Linked DNA regions of Arabidopsis thaliana. The protein of the gene in region 2 interacts with the protein of the main gene of each other region in a biochemical or structural test. Each region holds a gene or a part of one and is shown on either strand. Other genes may lie near its edges.

Evidence for each region.
Region 1: the proteins of ALY4 (region 2) and PARP1 form a complex in vitro, tested with the Arabidopsis thaliana proteins (one study listed by BioGRID).

Annotation. Positions count from the first base shown.
Region 1 is NC_003071.7:13,351,904-13,365,278, forward strand, and holds PARP1 (poly(ADP-ribose) polymerase 2), read right to left. Parts: upstream 7,848-13,375; 5' UTR 7,676-7,847; coding exon 7,532-7,675; intron 6,783-7,531; coding exon 6,733-6,782; intron 6,653-6,732; coding exon 6,436-6,652; intron 6,339-6,435; coding exon 6,152-6,338; intron 6,041-6,151; coding exon 5,758-6,040; intron 5,609-5,757; coding exon 5,413-5,608; intron 5,314-5,412; coding exon 5,152-5,313; intron 5,080-5,151; coding exon 5,019-5,079; intron 4,937-5,018; coding exon 4,873-4,936; intron 4,781-4,872; coding exon 4,297-4,780; intron 4,213-4,296; coding exon 4,100-4,212; intron 4,017-4,099; coding exon 3,940-4,016; intron 3,837-3,939; coding exon 3,676-3,836; intron 3,583-3,675; coding exon 3,391-3,582; intron 3,308-3,390; coding exon 3,199-3,307; intron 3,063-3,198; coding exon 2,980-3,062; intron 2,870-2,979; coding exon 2,732-2,869; intron 2,603-2,731; coding exon 2,420-2,602; intron 2,191-2,419; coding exon 2,143-2,190; 3' UTR 1,845-2,142; and 1 more. Other genes in the region: LBD14 (LOB domain-containing protein 14), read left to right, coding at 1,082-1,360, 1,463-1,750; AT2G31335 (uncharacterized protein), read left to right, coding at 9,082-9,264; emb1381 (embryo defective 1381), read left to right, coding at 9,711-9,852, 9,940-10,568, 10,704-10,864, 11,140-11,200, 11,394-11,459, 11,647-11,732, 11,834-11,897, 11,976-12,188 and 3 more. UniProt on the Arabidopsis thaliana protein: Involved in the base excision repair (BER) pathway, by catalyzing the poly(ADP-ribosyl)ation of a limited number of acceptor proteins involved in chromatin architecture and in DNA metabolism.
Region 2 is NC_003076.8:14,977,539-14,988,438, reverse strand, and holds ALY4 (ALWAYS EARLY 4), read left to right. Parts: upstream 1-3,786; 5' UTR 3,787-3,963; intron 3,964-4,410; 5' UTR 4,411-4,460; coding exon 4,461-4,646; intron 4,647-5,456; coding exon 5,457-5,600; intron 5,601-5,681; coding exon 5,682-5,750; intron 5,751-5,859; coding exon 5,860-6,059; intron 6,060-6,160; coding exon 6,161-6,244; intron 6,245-6,450; coding exon 6,451-6,634; 3' UTR 6,635-6,820; downstream 6,821-10,900. Other genes in the region: AT5G37730 (uncharacterized protein), read left to right, coding at 1,555-1,789, 1,985-2,298; AT5G37710 (alpha/beta-Hydrolases superfamily protein), read right to left, coding at 7,039-7,332, 7,579-7,714, 7,788-7,916, 8,002-8,060, 8,579-9,280; AT5G37715 (uncharacterized protein), read left to right, coding at 8,994-9,017, 9,336-9,416. UniProt on the Arabidopsis thaliana protein: Export adapter involved in nuclear export of spliced and unspliced mRNA. Plays a role in disease resistance. Mediates multiple defense responses triggered by NEP1, including stomatal closure, hypersensitive cell death (HCD) and defense-related gene expression.

The DNA.
Region 1 (13,375 bases), on a different chromosome or scaffold from region 2:
TGGTTCTGTTATTTCTTTGTTCCCCGGTCCTTCTTTGACCAAAACTCCGTCTTTTCCGCAAACTCTAGGCACAAGTTAGGATATCTAAAGACACCCGAAATCCTTAACATAGATAAGAAAACAAAAATAAAGCTTCAAACTCAAATTTTTCTTACTATTTTTAATCTCCACTAAACCAACATTAAGTCATAAATCCACTATCAGTTGTTCATTATTATCGAATAATTTAACTTTTGTACTTGATCAATTATTTTGGAATATTTTTGATGTTAATCATGATTCATGATTAATATGTGGGCTGGATAATCATGGGTCTCTCTATTTTTCTAGTCTGTAAAGTTTGATCGAAACTGAGAGCATTTTAAAATATTTAAATCGAGATATAGAAATAACTTGTCTCATATACTACTAATATCAAATGCCTTTGTTCTTATTCTACACACATCTCAATCACTTATGTGGTGTATATGTTGAGCATTGTTAAATCTTAAACTATTGTTTTCCAAATTAAGCAATAATGACAACAATCTTAACATAATTTCACAAGTACATGTAAATTTTCAACTAAACAAACACTAAAAGTAAACTCTAATTTATTTTTCTAAATAAAATAAGAGAGTAAATTAGTTATGAATTAAAAAAAAGCTAAAACCACAACAAAAAGCAACTTGGGTTTGGTTCATGTTTACTCATTGTTTTGTCCTATACGTCAACCAAATCTCTCATTTGATCGGATCTTAATATTAATATGGTTCTCTCAATATTTTCTTAAGAATATTCTCCACCTTAAGAGTTTAATCTCAATAATATATTACAACGAGTTATTGAATATTAGAGAGATGTTTTACAATATAAACTTGAGGGAAAATATAAAAGCTGCAATCTTGTAATTGTAAGCCATTAGAGAGACAAATATGTAAAATAACAAGTTGAGTTATCATAAATCCCACCTTAGTCCTTTACCATAAACACTCGTGCACTATATAATCGTCACTAGAAGAGTATAAGTAATGAAGTATTAATATTCCTACAAGATAGTAATAGTTGGTTAATATCAATAGATTATAATTACGTTTTGAGAATGGGAGGTTTAGGCTCACCATGTGGAGGATGCAAGTTCTTGCGTAGGAAATGTGTAGAGGGTTGTGTATTTGCACCATACTTTTGCTACGAAGAAGGATCTTCTAATTTTGCAGCCATTCACAAAGTGTTTGGAGCTAGCAACTTCTCTAAGCTCATTTCTCATCTCCCTGATCATGACCGATGTGACGCCGTACGAACCATCTCTTACGAGGCTCACTCTCGTCTCCATGATCCTATTTACGGCTGCGTCTCCCAAATCTTCTCCCTCCAACAACAGGTATTATACTTTTTCTTCGGAAATGTATACATAATTTTTTTTTGCTTTTGCTTCATCATCTCTAGTGTACTTACAAGTAACTTCACTGACTTTGTTCTTAAGGTTGTTAGTTTACAAGCACAAGTGGTTCTACTTAGAGAAGAAGCTTCGAGAAGGTTCCCTCAAGATGATCCTGGTTGTAATATGAAGCAACAAGAAAAGGTTCTTGCTCAACAAATGCCACAAGATCTTCACAATTGGTTTCACCAAGGAATCTTGGACTCAGACTTCGACCCAATGAGTGGTACTACACGCGACAATGAGCGGTCCATGGATCATAATGAGTCTCCTTGTAGCTCAAATGAATCACTTAATTACTACCAGGAGGTCAATTTTCCTTGGTCTGTTTGAGTACAAGTGACTACTTTGTCAGAGATGGAACCTTACAATCTTTCTATTGTATCGACTTTTCGACATTTTTCATAGTAGAGATCGAATCATGCAACCATTTTCTCTTTGAGAATAACCACTTCTTCGATGATCTTTCATAGGTACAACATCAGATCTGAACAAGTGTCAAGTCTTAAGAAGTGTCATTACTGAGAAAAAGCATAACAAAATGTAGTGTACGCTGTTTTAAAACCAGAAACATCTACAACGCCAGAGAGTTAAATCTGTGACTACATGTTGGATTCGATTTATCAAAAGACATTTAGTTACAAAAGTTAAGTCTTCGTGTTGGATTCGATTTCCCAAAAAAACATTTAGTTAACAGAAGTGACGTCTTCTTGTTTGGTTCAGGCTCATCTCTTGTGCTTAAACCTTACTTTCAACAAGAACTGCAACTTCACCTGTTCAGAGACAAAGCAATCTTTGTCAGACATGTACACACCATAAAAGAATCAAACACAGAATATGTTGCAAAACTAATAGCTAAAGCCGTATTCTAAAGCATGAGCTTTCTAGGGAATTCAGTTCTCATTCCCAAGTACCCGATAAGAACAAAAGAGGACTTTAGTGTGTGCGCAATATCCCATTGTTGTAAGGAACAAGGAAGATTATTTTGGAAACACAAGTTACCTGGGCTGTATCGTAGACGATATACTCATTGTACATAAGCTCAGAAGCCTTGACCTTTGATGAAACAGGTTTTCCACAGGGAACAGTCACATCACCTCTCCACTTGGCAAACTCGGAATCTTGAGGCACTTTCTTGCCGAGCCCTTTGGTCGAGTGTTTCCCTCTCGGAGGTTTATCCATATACTAAAGAATTGAGGACATAAGAGAAAGTCATATATGAAGGTAAGTAATATCTTAAGTTGTTCATATAGTTTTCAAGATAAGAACCAAATGGTTAGTAGCATAACCTGAAAAACTGTAATATGGGCTCACCTTAGCTTTTGTTAGCTCATGTATTTCTCCCAATGCAACTTCACTCAGAAGCATTAGACCCACCGGATTTTTCTTACAAGTGTAGCAGTACTGAGCACTTTTACTGACAAGGTCAGCAAAGTATATCCCTTTTCCAAACTGAAACATGGGGTTTAAAAAAAGTTCAGATTCTCTAACAAGTTAACTAGATAGTGAAGAACTCTCAATTGATAAGATCCCCACAAATAAGACACAGATAGAGTACTGACCATGTAACCAGTAGCAGGAGCTTCTGGAGGTGCAATTCTCAGTCCTTGGTTCAATATTCCAACAAAATTCGTTAATCGAGAACCTGAAAGCAGATTTATTTTGGTTAAACCAAGGGTTTTGATGATCAACCAGCCAAATATATAGAATCAACCAAACAATGAAATTTCTTGTATCTGTTTCCCAAAGCATGTAAATGTGGCTGGTTGCAGTTGGCTTACCATGCCATAGGAGCATCTTATTGCCAAGTTTTTCTCTGTGGGGAGCATATTTATCAAACTCTCCTTCTCTTTCAAGAGCAAAAACTTCCTCTAGCTCAAGACTCCACTCCTGACAAATCCAGTGACCAGAAATTGAATTAGAAAATTATGATAAACAAAACATGAAAAGGGATAAACAGAGCTTGAACTCACTGTATGCGTTGGGGCATGAGTTGTGTTAAGATACTTCTCGATTAATCGATAATCTTCGCTATCATGAGGAAGTGGTGAGATATCGCAATGCAGCTTCTTATACTTATCATCAAGAGATTCGGTGCTATCAACATCAAAGCCAACTATTCTTGAAGCTATTTCGATATCCTGCAGAGCCTCGAGCATTTTCACCTGTGACACACAGATACAATACCTCTTTGTAACACAGAAAAAGAGGCTAGGAATTAAAAAACAACACCATGGTTCATGTTCTATGGCAAGTACCTTTGACTTAAAGTCATCTTCATCTCGGATAATATGAGGATGAATAGAAGGGATCATGGTAAAAAATCTGTTACTAGCATCAACAAGCAAGCTTTCTTTCATAGTAGGCTGGGGGTCGCTTTCAGTCAATAGCCTCTGTATCTCCGTCAATGCCTCAAAACCTTTAGAAGAACAAACAAGAAAAAACATAATAGAATGTAATGTAGAATTAACATTTTATTATTTTTATCATATAAAAAAGTAAACTAGAGAAGTAGGAGTTACCCTTCTGTATATTATGTTTGCTGAGCTTCCCAAGTGGCATCTCTGACATATTTATCTCGAACTCCATCATTGCAGATCTGCGGAAGTAATTATTAGGTTACTTCATACAGTTTCTAGGGAGAGAAGAGGAGAAGAAGACAATGGCAAATAAGTTTCTAACCTGTAAGTTTCCACATCAAAAAGCATCTTCATCAATTCTATTAATGATGGAGCAAGGTTGCTACTGGTCTGAAATGGCTCTTTTTTGGCTACTTGCTTATTAACTCCATAATCCTAAAACAAACGATACAAAAGAGTTTATTGAACGATACATAAGAGAATCTTAAGAGACAAAGATATAGTCATATGGATGCTTACAATGTCCAACGGGAGAAATTTTCCAGGTTGTTTCTGGAAATTCGTTTTTTGTTCCCAAGATTCCCATGTGTTTCCGGTTTTTTCAAGAAATAGACGTTTGAATTCGTGAACCGCATCAGACTTTGACATTTCCTCCACTTTGTTACCACCAATCTTTTCATTTCCAACTCGGCCCCATTTACGAAATACGTAACAATCTGAACCTTTATCTTCTTGGATTATCTGGAGTATGTAATAACTATTGATACCGGTAGAGAGATCAGACATGCTCAGAGTTGTGTTATAGATACTGTTCCCATCTTCAAGAATGTGACAGTGCTCTTGGAGGCCAGACGCTTCATGCACAGCGCTTCGTCCTTTTACTTTAACAGTGACAAGGCTCTCACTAGTGTCTTCAATTTTGTACTTGTCAAATGGAAGTTTCCTCTGTTTTTTAAAACAATCAACCAAATAATCCTCTCTCACGATTGCCACTTTCATCCTCCTGCCACACATTTATCAACTCCAGCGTTCAAAGTGAGAAAAAATAGTGTGACAAAGTTAAAGAGTATCAGCACAATGAAGGCAATATTCTACCTTGCCTTTCTCATTTCAGCGTCTCTGATATCTGTCAGTCCACAAACAACCAAACAGCTTGTACCTACAAATTTGTGAAACAGAGATATTCAAAAGCTAAAACTAGTGTCACAATAATCAAAAATAGACACTCGAGTTATCCATACCTTTTTTAACATTAGCATGAAACTCTGCACCAGCTTCCTCAATTCTCTTCTTCCATGGTTGCTGCAAAATGATCCCATCAAGCAATGAAGTGCAAAGATAGTCTACAATATAATTTTTGACAGAAGAACATACCCTTTCCTTAGTATTTCCAGCAATTGAAACTTTAAGATCTGCTAGCCTTTCACTCCTTGAGGAGTCAGTTGCATCTTTAGAACCTTGACCCTGAGATGTCTCGCCAGACAATACAGGACGCAGAATACGTTTTGGCTTCACACTCTTTTGAGACTTATTCCACTGCAAGTAATCAAAATATAAATATTAACTTCATGAGTAATATATACCACATCTAACCTAACCCATACCAATATCAACTCTACAAAAAGACTGGTTTACCTTCAGAAGGAATTGATTTTCTGTTTCGTCAGGGATTTTCCACTTCCCTTTGATGCGGTCTGGATCCAAAGTGGAATGAGAACATTTGCTCCATTCTGAGATGTATCCATGGCATCGGTAAAGTCCTCCGGAGAAAGAAAGATGCCCAGAGCACATTGGGCAGAGAGCGAGTGGGCCAAACATCATGCCATCAGCACTAAATAGAAACAAATAGAGAGGTTAGGCATATGATTATGCATCGGTTTCTCTAATCCAAATTACCTTTAAGAAGATCCACACAACAGTAACAGAAATAGAACAAAAGACAAGCAATTAACTTCCAGACAGATTCGCAAAGTAATTTACCATTTATCACGCAGATCAAGTTCAGATCCTCTTGTACTTTGTTCATTTACTTCAAGCATTTCCCGCAACTCAGCTGATGTTACATATTTTTTCAGATCATCCTTCAGGTCCCACAATTCCTTAGTTTGGGCCTCCATTTCCTTTTCTTTGCTACAAGGTTGTAAAGCACCACTTGTAGACATGTCAAAACTACTTTTTGCTAGTTTCGACTTCTCGTTATCAACAGAATCATTTTTTCGTTTTGTGCCTGCTCTTGAATTTGTTTGACGTGCTTCTGCTGTCTCTGTCCCAGTTGGGCCAAAATAAATTAACGGAAAGATCAGACTAAAGTACTGCAAATCAGGATCCTGTAACAAGGAAATCAATATATTACCGTACACCTTAAGACTCTTACCAGTTTTGGCTGCCGGCAGAGCTTTCTTCACTAAGGGAAGAAGAGCTTCTTGGTCTGAGTCTGGTATACTTCTCCATCCAGACAAACTTTCCAGTTCAGTAGAGGAAGACATTTCAAGGAAACATTTAGCGTGATGCCACATCAAACCTTTGTTACCCGGGCCTTCAGGCTTGGAGAATATACGTACCTGGAAAACAAAAATGCAAAACAAAACCCTAATGCATATCGAACCAGTTCATATAAAACGCTACAACCATGACAGATGAAGTAGAACAACAATTTACCTCTCCTTTCAAGATCTTTTCGCTACACTTTCTGCAACCGGCACGAGAAGTTTGTGACACTTCAATCCCATATTCTAGTTTGGCATTATTAGCGGTACTGCTCGTGCTTGTGCCTGTGCTTGTGCTTGTGTTACTCCCTGCTCCAGATTCGACATATTTTCTAATCTTTTGCTGATCTTCCCAACGAAGTGATTCTATGCCTTCAACATCATCAACTCTAGCAAAATCAAGAGACAAAAACGAGTTAATAGCCAAACACTTTAAATATTTGTTCAAAGTGACATTGGTTTTACATACGATTTTATCTGCTTCGTCTTCTTTAGTATACAAGAAGCATGGTTCCACATCTGTGTGAGAAAAATAAAAGTACAAAGAGGATAGTCAGCTAGGAAAACTTCATGTCAACTGGAGCTAAAAGCAACATATAATTAACATGGTGAAGTGAAGCAGCATGAAGAAGGAACTACATAGTGAAAAGAAGAAGAGAAGAATGACCACTGCCATTCCATTAAACAACAAGCATAAAAGCTCATGAAAAACACAGCTGATTGCAATCATAGCATTGGCGGCATAAAGATATCAAAACACAGCTAAACAAACGATTATGATCATCCAAACAGAATAACGTCAGAGTTCCAAAGGGAATAATAGGAGTTCACATACGTCATTGCAGAAAAGCACGAACCTTTTGGCAATCATCAAGTACTAAATAAACACACAAGTGACTCAAATTTAAGCTTCAAATGCTCTTTTATCACATTCGATTAGGCACAAAAGGAGGAAAGAACATAATGTGAGGAAGGTTAACATCTATTTAAGAAGTTAAAAAAGTTCCAATTTTGAGATAGAAAACAAGCTTGACACACACACACACACAAATTTGCAAGGAATGTAGAACAGTGGAAGCAGAGAGAACAGGATTGAACCCTCAAAAATAACCAATTTCAACCAAATAAACCCAATTTGTCTGACAATAATTCTAAAAGAATCAATTTTGTCCTCAAAATCAGAAAGAAACATTAGAACGCACACTAACAAGCACGAGAGTATAGTACAGAGACAGTTCCAAATTCTGGGAGAGAAAAGAGAGTCATACGGGCATGATGCCATCGAAGTGAGTAGATTGAACCAACTTTCCAAGACGAAAGTTCTCCTTGTTAATGACGGACTTGCAAGTTTTACATGAAGACCTCGACGACTTTGCATACTCCGCCCTCCACGGCTTATGTGGGCTTGCCATTTCTCCGGTAAGAGACAATTACACAATGCGAGAGTACTATTTATACGTATGGCTTCTCTATCGAAGATGATTATGATGACGACGGATTGAGGAATGTTTCAGGTGAGAGTAAAGCTTCTCGGCGACGCTTTTCCAGATTGTGTTTCTACCGTTTAACCCTTTTTCCCTTTTTTACCCTAAAAAGTCTGTTTTAAGATTATTGCTTTCAATTATTATTTTGATAATCAGATTTATTCAATGATTTAATTTGATATCAGATTAGTAAATCAATAATTTGCACCCTCCGTTATGCAATAGACGATGATTACTATCACTTGTTGTTTTATATTTTTGAGACAGGAAGAAAAGATTATGTGAACATAAAATTATGGCTATAAAATGACAATAGGGAATTGAAAAAAGAAAAAAGAAAATAGCATTGGTGAAAAATATATTAACAAAAAAAATCAACAAATCATGGACGAATTCGCAGAATCCGTCGAACGATTGAATCATGGTGGTTGTATATTTCGGAAAACATCTGTACATTTCTAGTTTACATTGGAACAAAAATGAGAATTTTGACCACGTAAGAGCTACATTGCTAAATTAAATCCGACATGTTTTGTGTTAGTTTTCGAAACAGCAGTTAGCGTCTCTTTGAGGTTAGAAGCTTGGTATAGGGTAGAGATTGTTCGTAATAACGACGATAAGGTCTCGAGATTTTTGGAACTGTGACAATTACGCGAATGTCCATCTTTAATTCGGCGTTCAGAATCAGTGTTTCTTCTTGAAAAACTGCTAGTTGAATTTCTCATTTAGTTTATTTGTTGTGTTTTTGTTTCGATTTTTTTTTTTTTTAGCTTTGCAGCCTTTTTTCGCTATAATTATATGATTGCATTTTCCATCAAAATTTTCAGAATATTGTACTAACAAAAAAAATCCAACATGTACTACAAGAAGCAAAAAAATATGAAATTGATCACCATAATTTGTCAGAAAATCAAACCGGGAATACACTAATCAAGTTGGACCGTAATAACATCCCGGGTGCATTTTCCTCCTATTTGCTTAAAAATTCGTGAGACGCGTGATCTTCTTCGCCCTTCCGTATGAGCAAGAAATCTTGCGGTCCAAGACAAAACCGGTTTACGTGTTAACTTGTTTAATCAGTCTCAATCTTTATTTTCTAGTTCAAATGTCGAGAACCAATTTTTTCCAACTAAAAAGTCAATCCATAAGAATCCAAGTAAACCCTCCCTGACGACAAAAAAAAAGTAAACCCTCCCTCTCTATATATTTAACTCATATTCATATCTTTCAATGCGACACAAAAGAGTAAACGAACTTACTACAAATACTTTTTAGTACAAAGAAACAAAGTTAAAGTGATGATTATGAAGAATTAAGTAATCTTTGGAGTGATTATGCTTGCCATTTTTGTGGTTTTCTTGGACTCCACAAAAGTAGAAGCCACGAGGATGTTAAGAATCACCTTCGATAGTGATATCCGGTTCGTGTTCGAGTCCTTGCAGAAGGGTACGGTCCCTGGATCTGGTCCTAACCGTTGCTCTCACATCCCCAAAGGCTCGGGTTCGTGCCACGGATGATCCCTCTTGTGAATCTCAAGCTTGATCTCAATACCAAAATTTGGACTATGGGTGGAACTTTTTGTATTCATTTTTGTTGTATACGAGAAACTATGCTTTACATGTTCTTGTAAGTTGTAACAAAGCTATGAGAGCAAATTTGTTTGAAAGTATAAGTTTGTTTAACAAATTTGTAATAGTACTGGAAATGTTTGATAACCGGAATAATAGTCTTCTTATTTGGTTTAAGAGACGATAAATGATTCAGATTGTATAAACCGGTTCATATTGGTTCGATTGTATAAACCGGTTGAGATTGGTTCGAGTTGAAATTTGTTCTTCGTTGGCGAGAGATCCTTGAACGCTTAAACCCTCCATGGTTTTGGATTGAACATTTCCCCTGAGATTTGGGAGTGTCCTTAAACCCCATACACTGATCGAGCTCAAGAAGAAGGAGAAGCAGAGAAATGGTGAATAAACATTGGAAGATAATTCCAAAGCCGCTTCTAGAAACAGTTCTCAACAACCATGTCCAACGCCACCGTGTTCCTCAGCCTCTCATCCTCCATGGTCCTCGTGGCGTCGGCAAAACCACATTGATCCTCAACCGTAAAATCCTCTCTTTGAATCCCTAATTTCCCCAATTTTGTTCAAATGATCGTACCTTTGATTCGTTCCCGATCTCGTTCTTATTAGGTCTACTCGGAGATTGGAACAAAGGGCCACATCTCGCTGGCTATGTAGATTTTGCGCAATCGATAACGGAACACCATCCAGATCACCACCAATCATATCCATGGACGTCTTGGACCAGTGTTGACCCACCGTTGTTGTCCAATTGCAAAACCCAGCTCGAGAATTGTCTTGAATCTATGAGTCACAAAGCTATCAAACTTGGGAGTATAAGCTCGCAGCAGATTTTCACTACTATGAACAAATGGTATGGTCTTAATACTGCACTTCGTCGTATACTTCAGGGTTATAACATTGCTGTTCCAGAGAAAGTCTCGGTTTCATTTCTCTGGGAACGGGCTGTGTATGCCCTATCTGTTCGACAAAATGCCGATGAGATTGATGGGTTGCTTGAATTGGAAGAGAAAGGTAATAGCTTGTCCGTTGAAGAGGCTTCGTATTATAGAGAGACTGCTTTTGCGTTAAGATTGGCTAAAGAGGTTATTAAGGTGCACCAGGGTTGGAAAGCCAATGCCATTGCTCATCTTAATCGAACTAATGGGTTTTCGAGAACTTTAGCGAATTCATGTACTGATTGGCCGTTGCTAATGCTTGAGTTGTTATCACAAGCTGCAGAGATTGGCTTCTTCCAGGTAATGGAATAGATAAGTAATGGAATGGAATCTTTGATCTTATGAGTGGTAAACAGTAAATGTATTCATCTGGAAACAGTTTGCCAACTATTGATGTTATTTTTGTTTGTCTCTATTTCTTGTTTCATTTGACAGCCTAAGCTGGTCTTGAACAACATTGAAATCTTGAAGAGGGCTATTCAGACTGATGATTCAACAGTCTCAGCGTCAATGTACCATGACAATCTTATTTGGAGAATAATAGCGTTAGGTGCGAATGAGCGCTGTCTACCTGTCCTATTCGTGACTTCGGACAGGTTTGTCCTGTTTTTTGTTAGCATTTTTGGGTTTAATAAGGACAATCTGTTACTATCTGATGATTACGTGGTCTCTTAATCTAGCCTTTAAGTTTCAATTTCTCAACACTAGAGGGGAAACTGGTTTCTGACTTGTATCACTTTGTAGTATGCCATTAAGTTACCGAAAGTCTGAATAATCATTTTCCATTCTGAACTTGGCTCTTAGTTACAGAAATGTCTTTTGAAACTTTTTTATCATTTTATCTGATGTCTAATAATTTGAATTATGACAGCTACTATTCATATCAAGCCTTTGTTGACTACGGGTTTCCAGACATTTTCATCTCTCGTGAGGTATAGAAGCTACATGTATACATCTAAGTAAACTATTGATTCTGTGTGTATTTGTGTGAGCATGTATTGGTAATTTGATATATTATGTAGAGTTTCCCCGTCTCACCTTCATTATATCAACATGAAAGTTCATTTTTTATTTTTCTTCATTCTACCTTTCTTACGTTGCACTTTGGCTTTGTTTCATTTGTAGACATTTGGATGGAATCCTCAAGAAGCAAAATTACACATGGTTCCTGATTACTTCAGTGCTTCGGAGGTGAGAAAAATGCTGTAGGTAATGGCACTGCTTGTTTAATGAAACCAAAATATGTGACAACTCTAAAACCTAATAATATCAAACCAGAAAGGTTGAATGATCTTTTATGCTAAAATTTTACTGGTCATTCTTTTTTTAATTGAGATGCTGTATATTACTAGAGGTTTAACATATGTTGGAATTGTAGTGGACTATCATTGCTGATGTTCTTGGTGCGAATTCTCGGCATCTATTTGAGCTTTATGCGCTTAAACAAAGTAATCATTACCAGAGGTAATGGTTTCCTGTTCTTTCGTTTGCTCTAATCTCAAAATGTGTCAACCCTCTATTTTTTCGTTTCTCAAATGTGACCTAGTGCCGTTGTGTTTTATCAGTTTGATGGGGAGTAAAGCAGGTACATTTGAAGATATTGTGGATGCATACTTGGCATATTTACAAGTAAGCTCATTTAAAGTGATTGCTTTCAAATTACGCACGAAAGTCATCGTTAATTTTATAGTCTATTTCCTTGTTTAGGTTGCTGTGGTTAATCCTGCAATGGACAAAGCGTTGTTGCGGCTTCAACGGTATGCCACTGATGTACGAAAAGGAAGCATTCCGTATGAAAAATTACGTTTTGGTGCTTCATGGAGGCATCCTCCGCAAACTGAGGATCCTACACAGAACTCTGAGTGGGCTAAAATTCAGCTGATGGATTTTGTCCAAGCTCTTGTCAATACAGAATTCGCGGTACCTACTCTTCTAGACCCTTGATGGAAATAAAGCCAAAGTGTTCAGTTTTACCTTATCGGACATGAAACTAATGATTATAGCATCACTAATAGTGTACAAGCATCAATGATTCTATAGGTAAATTATTTGGGTGACTATAGCCTTGAGATCTTTGAAGACCCTTCAGCTATGGCATTGGTTGAGGTAAAAACTTCTATCTTTTCTTGATCAGTAGACACTAATTTCGAGACCCATTTTACTAAAAACTGATTAATTCTGTTTCAGGTTGGGATACTGTATACTCAGCGAGATCCATCTTTTTTCCGGCCAATATCTCAAGGCATTAAAAGATGCCTTGTTAGATGGTCAGCAAACTTTCTTCCCTTCTCCTATGGATCTGCTCTTTGAAACTCTGTTTTTTTACTTACGCTCATGATTTGCATTACAGGCTCATCCAAGAGCGGATGCAGATGAGTTATTGGAGCTCAACAAAATATTGGTGGCAGAGAATCATCCGGGGTCGTTATTACAAGCATTTAATGCTTGGCTACAGAACATAGGCAGTTTCACACAGGTAGAGACGATTACACGCTCTGTTTCTAGCTCTCTTGCATCACATTGCTTTAGAGGATAATGAACTTAGGACTTTCGTAAACTTTCGATTCAAAAACTTATCTGTTCAAGTTGATGCGTTAGCATCGATGAATCCTCAAGTCTCAACAAACGTACAATGTTGCTGTTACTTCTACTGATAAAACTAATTATCCCAAGTTTCACACATCAATGCAGGTTTTGTTTTCACAGGAACGTCGATGAAATCTCGGTATCTTGTGCACGTACACATGTCGGACTCAGGTTTTACCGTGAAGTAGAAAACATAAAGGGGCGTTGTTTTTGTTGCCGTCAAGGTCTGACTTTTAGTAAAATCACATTAAGAAGAGACGTCGGAGGGAAAAACCTCCAGCTACAGAACGGTGTAATCGTGTAAGTGGGAATACATTGCCATGAGAACGTCTTTCTCTTCAGACGCTGTATATAAAGCGCATGTTGCTGTGTTTATGTCGATTTTTTTCAAGTAAAATTATAAGTCAAAGAATTCAATTATTCACTGTATTGTCTACCTTTCCAAGCCGAAAAGTCCAATAAAGTTTGTTGTTAAAATGAAAAATCTTTGGATTGTTACATTTACATTTTTCTTGACCAAC
Region 2 (10,900 bases):
CAATATGGATGGAAACTCCTAACAATTACCTTTCATGGTCTCTTTCTATCTCTATATCTCTTCCTTTGTGCTCTTATAAAACGAAAGCAATAAGTATATGAAATCCATGCTTCTTTACTGATGTATGCATAGAAGACTAATATATATATATATATATATGAAGATATATAAAGAGTGATGAAAGGGGAGAATAAAAAATTGTTGGTGAGTGTGAATGTTCTTGGAAGTGTTGGCCCTATAAGGTTTTTGGCCAATGAAGACGATGAAGTTTCAAGTGTTATTAACACAACCTTGAAAGCCTATGCTCGTCAAGGGAGGATCCCGGTTCTAGGGTTCGAAGTGGATAACCTCAATTTCTATTCCATTAACGCCGGATTCAGTAGTATTTTCCATCCACCACTATTTAGTTTGTTCTCTTAGAATCACCTAAATTCTAGATTAATCTTGACCCGCTTATAAAAAATCGCATTAGTTGTTTAACGTTGTGTGTACAAATTTTGGTATAAAATTCTAAATCGAAAGTAATTTGATATTTGTTTATCATTTTTTTGGTGTTAGAATTGAATACACACAAGAGAAGATAGGATCAATGGATGTAACGAATTCCTTGTTGTGCATGAAAGAGCCAAGACCATTGGAAAAAGTCCAAAGAAAAATAGAGAGTAAAGCATCAATCTTTTGGAGGGACCATGCATCACCACTGGATCAAACAACACTTGGTTACTATCCATGATCTTTGCATATAAATAAGGAAGCCTATCCTCAAAGGTAAGGAAATATACAATATAATATCCATCTTTTTCAAGTAGTTTGACCCTAAAAATGACATTACATCCTTTTTCACCACTCTTGTTCAAAATTTCAATGAGTACTGTATCCATAGTGATTTGCATTATTTCCACCCATAGTTTGGCTATATACTTTTAATTAATCCACGTTTATATATGTTAGTGAAACATAGCTTATATATGTTTTACTATTTTCTAAATTCTAGTTGCTATTATTGATCTTTTGCATGGGAGAATAAATATGTTGACCTATTCGTTCACTAAAGTCTCCATTATGATTTATGCACATTAGTTGTAAATAATATAAAAAGGTTTTAGTGGTGGAATAGTTTCAGAAGAGATTCCACACATCTCTCCACCATAGGTGATATGCTTAGCTTCTTCATTTGAGCCAACAAGCTCTAATAGCATTAGATCCTCCAAATTTTCTATCGTACACTAAACTTACTAGTGACCAATAACCATTAATTTATTAACAAATTTAGACCCGCTTTAGTGGTTCTTAACATATCTATGATTATCAATAACCCCACAAAACTAAAATTCGTAGCCTTGATAGAAAATCTCTCTAACCTATTGTGTCGAGACTTATATATGCATGTAAGCATATATATTATAGGGTTATTCTCATATAGTCTCAATGGATGGAACTCCTAACACTTACCTTTCATGTTGTCTTCTCTTCCTTTAATTTATGCATCTATAAAACGGAAGCAGTAAGCAAGTAAGTTTCATTCTTCTTTAATGGTCTATACAAAGAAAAAGGATGAATAGAAATGAGAATGTAAAAGGAGTGATGAAAAGGAAGAATAAAAAGTTATTGGTGAGTGTGAATGTTCTTGGAAGTGTTGGTCCTATAAGGTTTTTGGCCAACGAAGACGATGAAGTTTCAAGTGCTATTAACACAACTTTGAAAGCCTATGCTCGTCAAGGCAGGATCCCGGTTCTAGGGTTTGATGTCGACAACTTCATTTTCTACTCCATTAATGCCGGATTCAACAGTATTCTACTCCACTCTTGCTTGTTCTCTCGGAGTCCGTGAATTCTAGATTAGTCTTGAGATCGGTTCAAGATTTACATGGCTAAAACAGAAAATCACCAAAACAATTTGCATCCTTAACCTTGTGTGTACAAAATATTGTATAAAGTACTCATTGAGCGTAATTTGATTTGACTGTTTACATTTTTGGTGTTAGCTTTGCATCCACAAGAGAAGATAGGTTCAATGGATGTAACAAATTTCTTGATGTGCAAGAAAGAGCCACGGCCACTGGAGAAAGTCGAAGGTATAAGAGAGAGTAGAGCTCGGATAGGCCATGGATGGAAAACTACTCATCTTCTTCGGTTTTTATTAGGATATATTCCTTACAATCACAAACCTAACTCTACAAGTCAAATGGACTATAGATCATTCGGTGATGGGAACGCTTATTGTATAGAGGAGTACCAACAAGAGTTTCAAAGGATTACCAAAATAAAGGAATACCAACGAGAGTTTCAAAGGTTCTAGTCTTCTAGAATAAATTTGGGATGGAAGCAAAATGCATTGGTCGACAGCCTTTCGAGATATACTTTACAATTCAATTGTGGACAATGATGGGATTATACAAAATATTTGAAAAACTACATTCTAAAGATCTCTATACATTTTGGTTTATACTAGTTCTGAAATCTAAATCTAAATCTAAACAGAATTTGACCGCCAATTTACCATGTACTAGAGACATTTTGCAAGAAAACTTGATCCATGAACTTACTTGACTAAGATTAAGAACAACTAATGGACGGTATCTTCGAATATATGAATACTAGTAAAGTCGTTTGCAAAATATTCAATTCAAAACAAATGTCTCTAAGTTGTACATGGTAAAATGGCAATCAAATTCTATTTGAATTTCATAATTTTGAATGGGAAAAATCTTGAAAAAAACTCTAACTAATTTTTATTTGGACGTTTAATACTCAATTGTTTTTAGTTGGAAGAAAATTACACGAAGTTATAAAACTGTACAATTTAATACTCACGATCTCACCACAAAAATAAAATTCTAATTTTATCCTTACCATCTTAATTAACTATTAATTTTTTAGATTATATGATATTAATTTTATAATTTTGGATAAAATTTATTTTTTAAAATTTTTTATTTTATGGCGTCTAAAAATTTTAAATGTCATTTTTAACTAGAATTATTTTATTTTAAAATTTAACATAAAAATTAGGAGAAAATCACAAATATTTTTTAAAAAGATCTTTAGAATGTAGTTTTCATGATTATATTCTAAAGATCTCTATATATTTTCGTCTCTATACTAATTATGAAATTCAAATAGAATTTGACTGCCAATTTACCATGTACTAGAGACATTCTAAGTTTTTGCAAGAAAAGTTGATCTATGGACCATATCTTCGAATTTATCCCTACATTATTAAAAGGGAAGTACAAATTGAAATTTTGTCTAAATTTGGCTTCAATTTTGATTTCAATTTTGGATTTTGTTCTTTGCTATTCAAAATCATTAAGAGTAATTTGGTATTAACAATCTCCTAAACTTTATATGATCCGATTCAATCTAAACCGTTCAATAAAATTAATTCCCTTCAATCTAAACCGTTTAACAAAATAAAGAATTTATGTCGTTTTTGAAATCAAAATATGATCACATTCCATCCCTAAAACACTATACTCAATCACAAAATCAATAATCGATAATATCCAAATCATATATTACGATTCTTCACTAATCACTAGATATTTATATTTATAAATTTAAAATATCAAATTTATTCAAATATTTAGTATAAAAACCAAATCTACCGATTGCCCGCGATTGCCCGCGGGTTAAATTCTAGTGTATACTAGTAAAGTCGTTTGCAAAATATTCATTTCAAAACAATGGTCTCTAGTACATCGTAAATTGGCAATCAAATTCTATTTGAATTTCGAAATTTCGATAGAGACGAAAATAACCTTCTAAGTGTTCTATAATTACGAAATTGTCCTTACCCTAGACTTAAACCCCATATTTTCTTCCTCCATCCCTTCTCTGCTAAATTCTGTCTGATCTAAAAAATCAACGAACACAAAACTCATCAAAGCTCCTCAAAACCCTAAACACAGTCTCTCCATCTTCTTCAATCTCTCTCTCGTTCGGATTCTCATCTCTTCTTCTGGTAATTTCTTCTTCTTCTTCTTCTATCTTCTTGCGAACCATTCGTGCTCTTGAACCATCTTACTTGATTAATTTCGTTCTATTCTCATCTGCTTGCACGCAATTATTAGTTTTCGTTTCAATAACTATGACTAGGTTAATATAGGATATAGATCTAGGGTTTCAATCGATGTTATGTTTGATTTGAGAACTATAGATTTCCCTCGTAAGTGATCTAGGGTTTATCTGATTAGCTCTCAATCTGATTGGATTGATTTGTTTCTCATGAGCCTTTGTGTTTTTCTACACTGGGTAGCTCTAAAATTGCAATTTTGATTGAAATTTATTGTTTGGGTCATTAAGCTAGTGCTTGTTTGAGTTAGAAGATAAGCCAGTTTTATGATTATGATATGTTTTTCTTGTTCATGTTTTTGGTGGTAACTAAACACTCCTTCTCTAATTTATGCAGGTTTCAGATTGAGTCTTGTTACTGTGTTTCATAAGACTATTGAAGTTAAGATGTCTGGAGCATTGAATATGACTCTTGATGAGATTGTTAAGAGGGGTAAAACTGCAAGGTCTGGGGGAAGAGGGATTTCTCGTGGGCGTGGTCGTGGACGTGGTGGTGGTGGAAGAGGAGCTGGACCTGCTAGAAGAGGTCCTCTTGCTGTGAATGCTCGTCCATCATCTTTCACCATTAACAAGGCAAGCTCAAAATCTGGGATCTTCTATGTGTATGATTTGGAAATCTGAGTTTCTGTGAAGCATTTACTTCATCATACTATATCTAAACGATGGGAGAAGCAGGTTTTCCTGTCCATGCGGAAAGCCTTACTTCTGATGATAGTTTGACATTCTTTAGCATTGAGAACATCGCCTAGGAACATGCTTCTTTCTAGTTCATGGAGATGTTTTCATTTAGGAATGCCTCTTACCCCTGCAGTTTCAGTGTACTTTGTGGTTTATGTTGTTAATTGTGAGGACTTTGGCAGACAAGTTATTGGTTGCTTTTGCGACAGTACTTAGAACCTGAGGAGCTTCAGTAAGATGAAGATCAAAATTTGTTCTTCCAGTACAATTAGACATGTTGTGCATTTCCGTCACACAGTTTCAAATCCTCAAAAGATGTGTGGTGTTGTAGTAAATATAGTGACTTACCCTCCTAACCCCTACACAGTCTTAACTGTATCATGCATGAAGTTATTGATGAACGTCCTGCTGCATTTGGAATTTCTTCAGCATGCTATGAGCGTCGGTTTTTCTTTTATCATCATAGCCTTGGTACAAAGAATTTGTTTTGGAACCGGAGCATAGTCGGTCAAACTCATTGTTCCTCCATTTCATTTGGTTTTCTCATTGGGTGGTTCTTGACTACTCGGTGGAGCTCTTTGCTTTGACTGGGTTTCCCTCTTCCAGGCATATGGGTGGTCACTTCTTTGGAATTGTTTTTCATTGACGCTGTTTTTGAAGTTCGACAGACATCTTGTACTGAAATGATTCTGTTCTATTGAATAGCCTGTCCGTAGGGTCAGGAGCTTGCCATGGCAAAGCGGTTTGTTTGAAGATGGCCTAAGAGCTGCCGGGGCATCAGGAGTTGAAGTTGGAACCAGGCTCCATGTTACAAATCTGGACCAGGGTGTGACAAATGAAGATATAAGGGTATAATCAGACTTCTATAATTTGTGCATTTGGTTTCTTAGAGGGGAGCCAGACACTAAAATGTATCTTCATGGGATCTAGGAACTCTTCTCTGAGATTGGGGAGGTAGAGCGTTATGCGATTCATTATGACAAAAATGGGCGTCCAAGTGTAAGTCCTCACAAATCTTTATCAGTCCCATTCTCTTCATGATTTTGAAAAAGTTTTATCTTGTATGCTCTTTCTAACAGGGATTTTGTTTTGTGCCATGTAACTATAGGGCACAGCTGAAGTGGTGTATCCAAGAAGAAGTGATGCATTTCAAGCTCTGAAGAAATATAACAATGTGCTATTGGATGGAAGGCCAATGAGACTTGAGATTTTGGGTGGCAACAATTCTTCCGAGGCTCCTTTATCTGGTCGTGTGAATGTGAATGTCACTGGACTCAATGGAAGGCTGAAGAGGACGGTTGTTATCCAGTATGAATTTCTGTCTTTTCTTTTTGTTTTCTCAGTAATCGCATGAATAACTGTTGTGAGACTAAATCCAAGACTTACACAATCTTCTCTGATGCTTGTAGACAAGGAGGAGGAGGGAGAGGAAGAGTTAGAGGTGGGAGAGGAGGAAGAGGTCCAGCTCCTACTGTCAGTCGCCGCCTTCCAATGTAAGTATAAATCTGTTTCTCTTAATTCGTTTAGCGGAGAACCGAACTGAGATTTGTCAACTGCATTCCATATTAAACTGCATGGTCACAAAAGTTTTGTTCCTATTTTTGTGTAACCAAACCGAATAAATCAAAATTCGTAGTTAATTGATTTTCGTTTGTTTCGGTTAATGTTTTAATTTGCACTTGTTTTCTCTTGGTGGCAGTCATAACCAGCAGGGAGGAGGGATGAGAGGAGGAAGAGGCGGGTTTCGTGCTAGAGGGCGTGGTAATGGTGGCCGTGGTCGTGGTGGTGGAAGAGGAAATGGAAAGAAGCCAGTGGAGAAGTCAGCTGCTGATCTTGACAAAGATCTTGAGAGCTATCACGCTGATGCCATGAACACCTCTTAAATCGTGTTGTGTTGTTCTTACTAAACTAGTTTCAGATGAAATCATGCTTCTCTTTTTTTCATGCTCTTCGTTGGTTTTGTTGGATGTTGATTGTAAAGTAAATGGAAGCCTTTTAGAATCTAGCTGTCTTAAATTTTCTTTTATATAAAGAGTGATTTAAAGTTACCAAGTGAACTGTTTTAAGATCGGTTTTACTCATCAAATTCAGAAGTCTAGAGAGAATTAGGTTTTACATTGTAATGAAAAAAGTGAGTCTGATTGTGAACAAAAATTTCTCAGACCAATTTAACCGGATTATAGACATTCTCACACATCCATAAAGCCTAGAAAATTTACAAAACTGAGTTAAAGAAAAAAAAAACACACACCATTGAATCACAACCATCAACCTGACGCAAGCCTATCTACCTTTCAGGAACAACGTTATCGTTGAGAACGAATTCTCCTGAATTGCTTCGATGGAAAAGCTTGTCCACAACTTCATCCCAATTCTTCTTCTTTGTTTTCAACTCCGCGGATGCTTCTCCATTGTTGCATTCTTCTTCTTCTTCCGCGGTGGACACTGCGTGTGGGATATTAAGACTCACGGCTCTCTCCAACGCATCTTTGTGCTCTTTCTCTAAAGTACTTAACCTCTCCATTCTCTTCTCTTTTGGTGCCATTGTTACCACTGTCTCTGAACTCTTCTCTCTCAATATCTGTAACCACACACCACAAAACCCACCATTTATAAAAAGAAGCCTAACTAGTCCCTTACTATTTTGTGCAAAGATAGTAAAAAAATTTGTAGCAACAACACAATTAAAGATTTTATACTCTTAACAAAATCGTCGAAAATCTAAATCTTAAATCCTGTAACCTTACTTAAGCCTTATAAACTAAATCCTAAATCCTTAGCCCTAACCATTGATCTAAAACATAAAAATGCAGAAATTAAATGTCACCTGCAATGCCTTTTCTGCTTCTCTTTCTATCCATAGAATCGCATGATCCGATGTTGCATTCGATGATAATACTATATGCTCAAATCTACCATCAACGGGAATCGCGGTTCTCACTTCGGGAGGAAACCTTCCACATCTAAATACAAAAAATAATCAGAGGAAAAACAAACAAAAATTGCTAAGAAATGCCACACTAACTTCATTATTACCTGCAAAATTTCCGCTCAACGATATGATAAATTCGACCAGGAGCATAAAGCCTTCTAGGATCTCTTAGTTTCCGACCTTCCGGTATAAATGTATCCCTCAGACAAACTAGAAACAACAAGCACGGCAAGCTGTCCGAACAACGAATACAAAATGTTGAACTATACCTATAACAAATTCATTCCAACAAGAGCATTTTCGAAGTTCGACACTTACCAGAATACAGACTTGAATATATCCTCTAATGGTGTCGCTGTTCTCGGTAAAAAATCATCCTATTATTCCACAAACACTAAGTTTTGTTAAAATTCTTAGTAAAATACCTTACTCTATAAAAATTCTCTCTATAGACAGATACCTTTCTTAACAACTAAACAACCTCCAAAACTAGTACAAAATTTAGCAGAATATTCTGACCAAACTCAAGAAGCAAAATGAAAAATTCAATTCGTCGATTCATTGTATAAAGCAAAAGCATATTCTGAACTTACGAAACAGGATTATGACAATGCTTGGTCAACAATGAACCAACCACCACCATCCAACAAGACAGTTACAAATATAATCCAAATTTTATATCAAAACTATAAATATATTCAACTCTTTACATAACCAAAAAAATTAGTTGTCAGAAATCAATCTCTAACCCCAAAAACAACTAAACCATAACACCCTTAACTTAAATACAAGTGATTTAACATTTCTAATATATTATTCTTTGTTAAAAAATCAATTTTTGTAAAAATCTTTTAACTAACATTGAGATCATTAAAACATGGTTAAATTTTTTTACCTGCAAAATGACGGAGGAGATGACGTCAGCATACTTAACGGCGAGATTAAGCGACATACATCTCGCCGGAGCCAAAGCAAAACATCGAACCTTATTCCTCGGAATATCACCAATCATCGCCGGAGTATTAACAACCAAAACCGCCATCAACGCCGCAACACCAGAACCCAAAGAATGACCAGCAAAAACCAAATCATACTCTCTACCATTCTCTTCCCAAACTCTCCAAAGAGTCTCAGATTCTTGATTCAAAACCCAAGCCGCAGATTTCAACAACCCACGATGCACATAACCACCACCAAGCATTTTCTGACCTAATTTGTTATCTAACAGAATCTTGTAATCACTCTCTTTAGCTAAGTTCAAGCCACGAATCGCTAAAACAATCTCACGGTGGTCGTGATCTATGTAGATAATGTACGGTGGAGATCTTCCTTGGGTTTTTTCGTGTGTCACACGTTTGATGACCCATTCAGGGTTTAGATCGAAAGTTCCTAACGAAGGTGAGATTTTAGGGTTTCTGAGATCGGGTTCGTAGACGGCGAGGATTACTCGGCTGATTCTTGGGATTGGTTCGAATTCTTCCGGTGTTGCTGATGTCCACGTGGCGCTATCGTCTGAGCCTACGTGTGTGCATCGTTTCCATGCCCATCTACTGAATCCTACACAGAAGACACATTCTAGTCCACAAGCTACTGACATTTTTGACCCAAAGGTGAGATTTTTTTTTTTTGAAATTAGAGATTTTTGGTTTCAGAAATCAGAGGAAAGATTGAAACTTTTTGGCTCAAAGATGAGATTAGAGAATTTGGGTTTCAGAAATCAGATGAAAGATTAAAAATTTGAGATAAAGGTGAGATTTTTAGAACTATGAATTGGTTTGAGAGAAGACAAAATTTTGACTCAAAGTTGAGATTTTTAGGAGATGGGTACAGAGAGGAGATGGAATTAGAAGACTTGGTTTTTGATTTTTTTCAGAGGAAGAGAATCTGAAATTTGAGACAAGAGAAATTGGTCAAATTTCGAGGTCGAATGGGAAATTAGAGAACTTGAGATTTGATGAATATACAGTAAAGAAAAAATATTAAAATTTGAGGAAATACATGGAAAAAAAAAAGTTGTAATAAGAGCCAAAAGGGATAAAGAAGAAGAAGAAACCAGCTAAGTATAAAGACAGATAAGCGAGATTATCTCTCTTTCTGGGTGTTTCGAGACAGAGACAGGCAAGAAGCCCAAAAAGCAAGAATTGAAGAACTTGTCCATTTTCCCATGTTTTGTAATAAAAAAACGCCCAACTTTATTCCGTTTTATTTATTTACTCCTTTTGTTATTTTTAATTAATTTTCTAAAAAAAAAATATTTAAAATATATATTAAATCTGATCATAAAGAATATTCAATTATTTTTATTGAAGTTTAAAATACATCAATAATACTGCATATAAAACCTAAAAAATTAATGTTTAAAAAACATTTTTTTTCCTACAAAAATCAAATAAAAATGAAGAGTATTAGTTTACACAAATCTTGTAAATTGTGAAAATCTTTGATCCCCTCCCATTGATTTTTTAAAAAGTGAAAATATTTTTAACTATTTTTAAGGGTATTTTAATTAATTGTTTTTGTCTGAATGAGTTATAAAAACTCTTAAGGTGTGTAAATATGTTTTGTTGATTTGTCTATAATTATTACTATAAACTGATATTAGTAAAATTGACAAATTGATATGTGTAGACAAATTGCATTGTTGGTTATGAATAATGAAAATTCAGTTCTAGTAATGTAAAATTGGTAAACTAGGAACCGGTTAAAATGGATTCTTCTCGTTCCAAGAAATGTTTATACAAAGAAAGTTTCATATAGATATTAGTGATTAAGATATCAAAATATTTGGAAGGGATAAGAACTAGGCCTGGCCCAAATAGGGTGGAGAGAGGTGCAGTAGCCCATGGGTCCATACTACAGTTGTGACGACCAATGCATTTTGCTTCCATCCCCAAATTTATTCTAGAGGACTTGAAACTCTAGTTGGTATTTCCTTATTTTTGTACTCCCTTATTTGGTAATCCTTTGAAACTCTTGTTGGTACTACTCCTTTATACTTCAAGTTTGTATAATCTTCACAATTTGTGAGTCTGAAGCGAGCCCACATTTCATTCTCGAAAATCTCCCTTGTAATGAATGTTTTCCTCTTCGTTTACATTCTTAATGCATGCCACTCTTTATTGGATTCTTCTTTAATATGGTAAGAGGCATATTGTAATACTTAGTAGATACGTAAATGTCATGTCTTACCCAACCAGATAGTCGATCTCGCAATAAG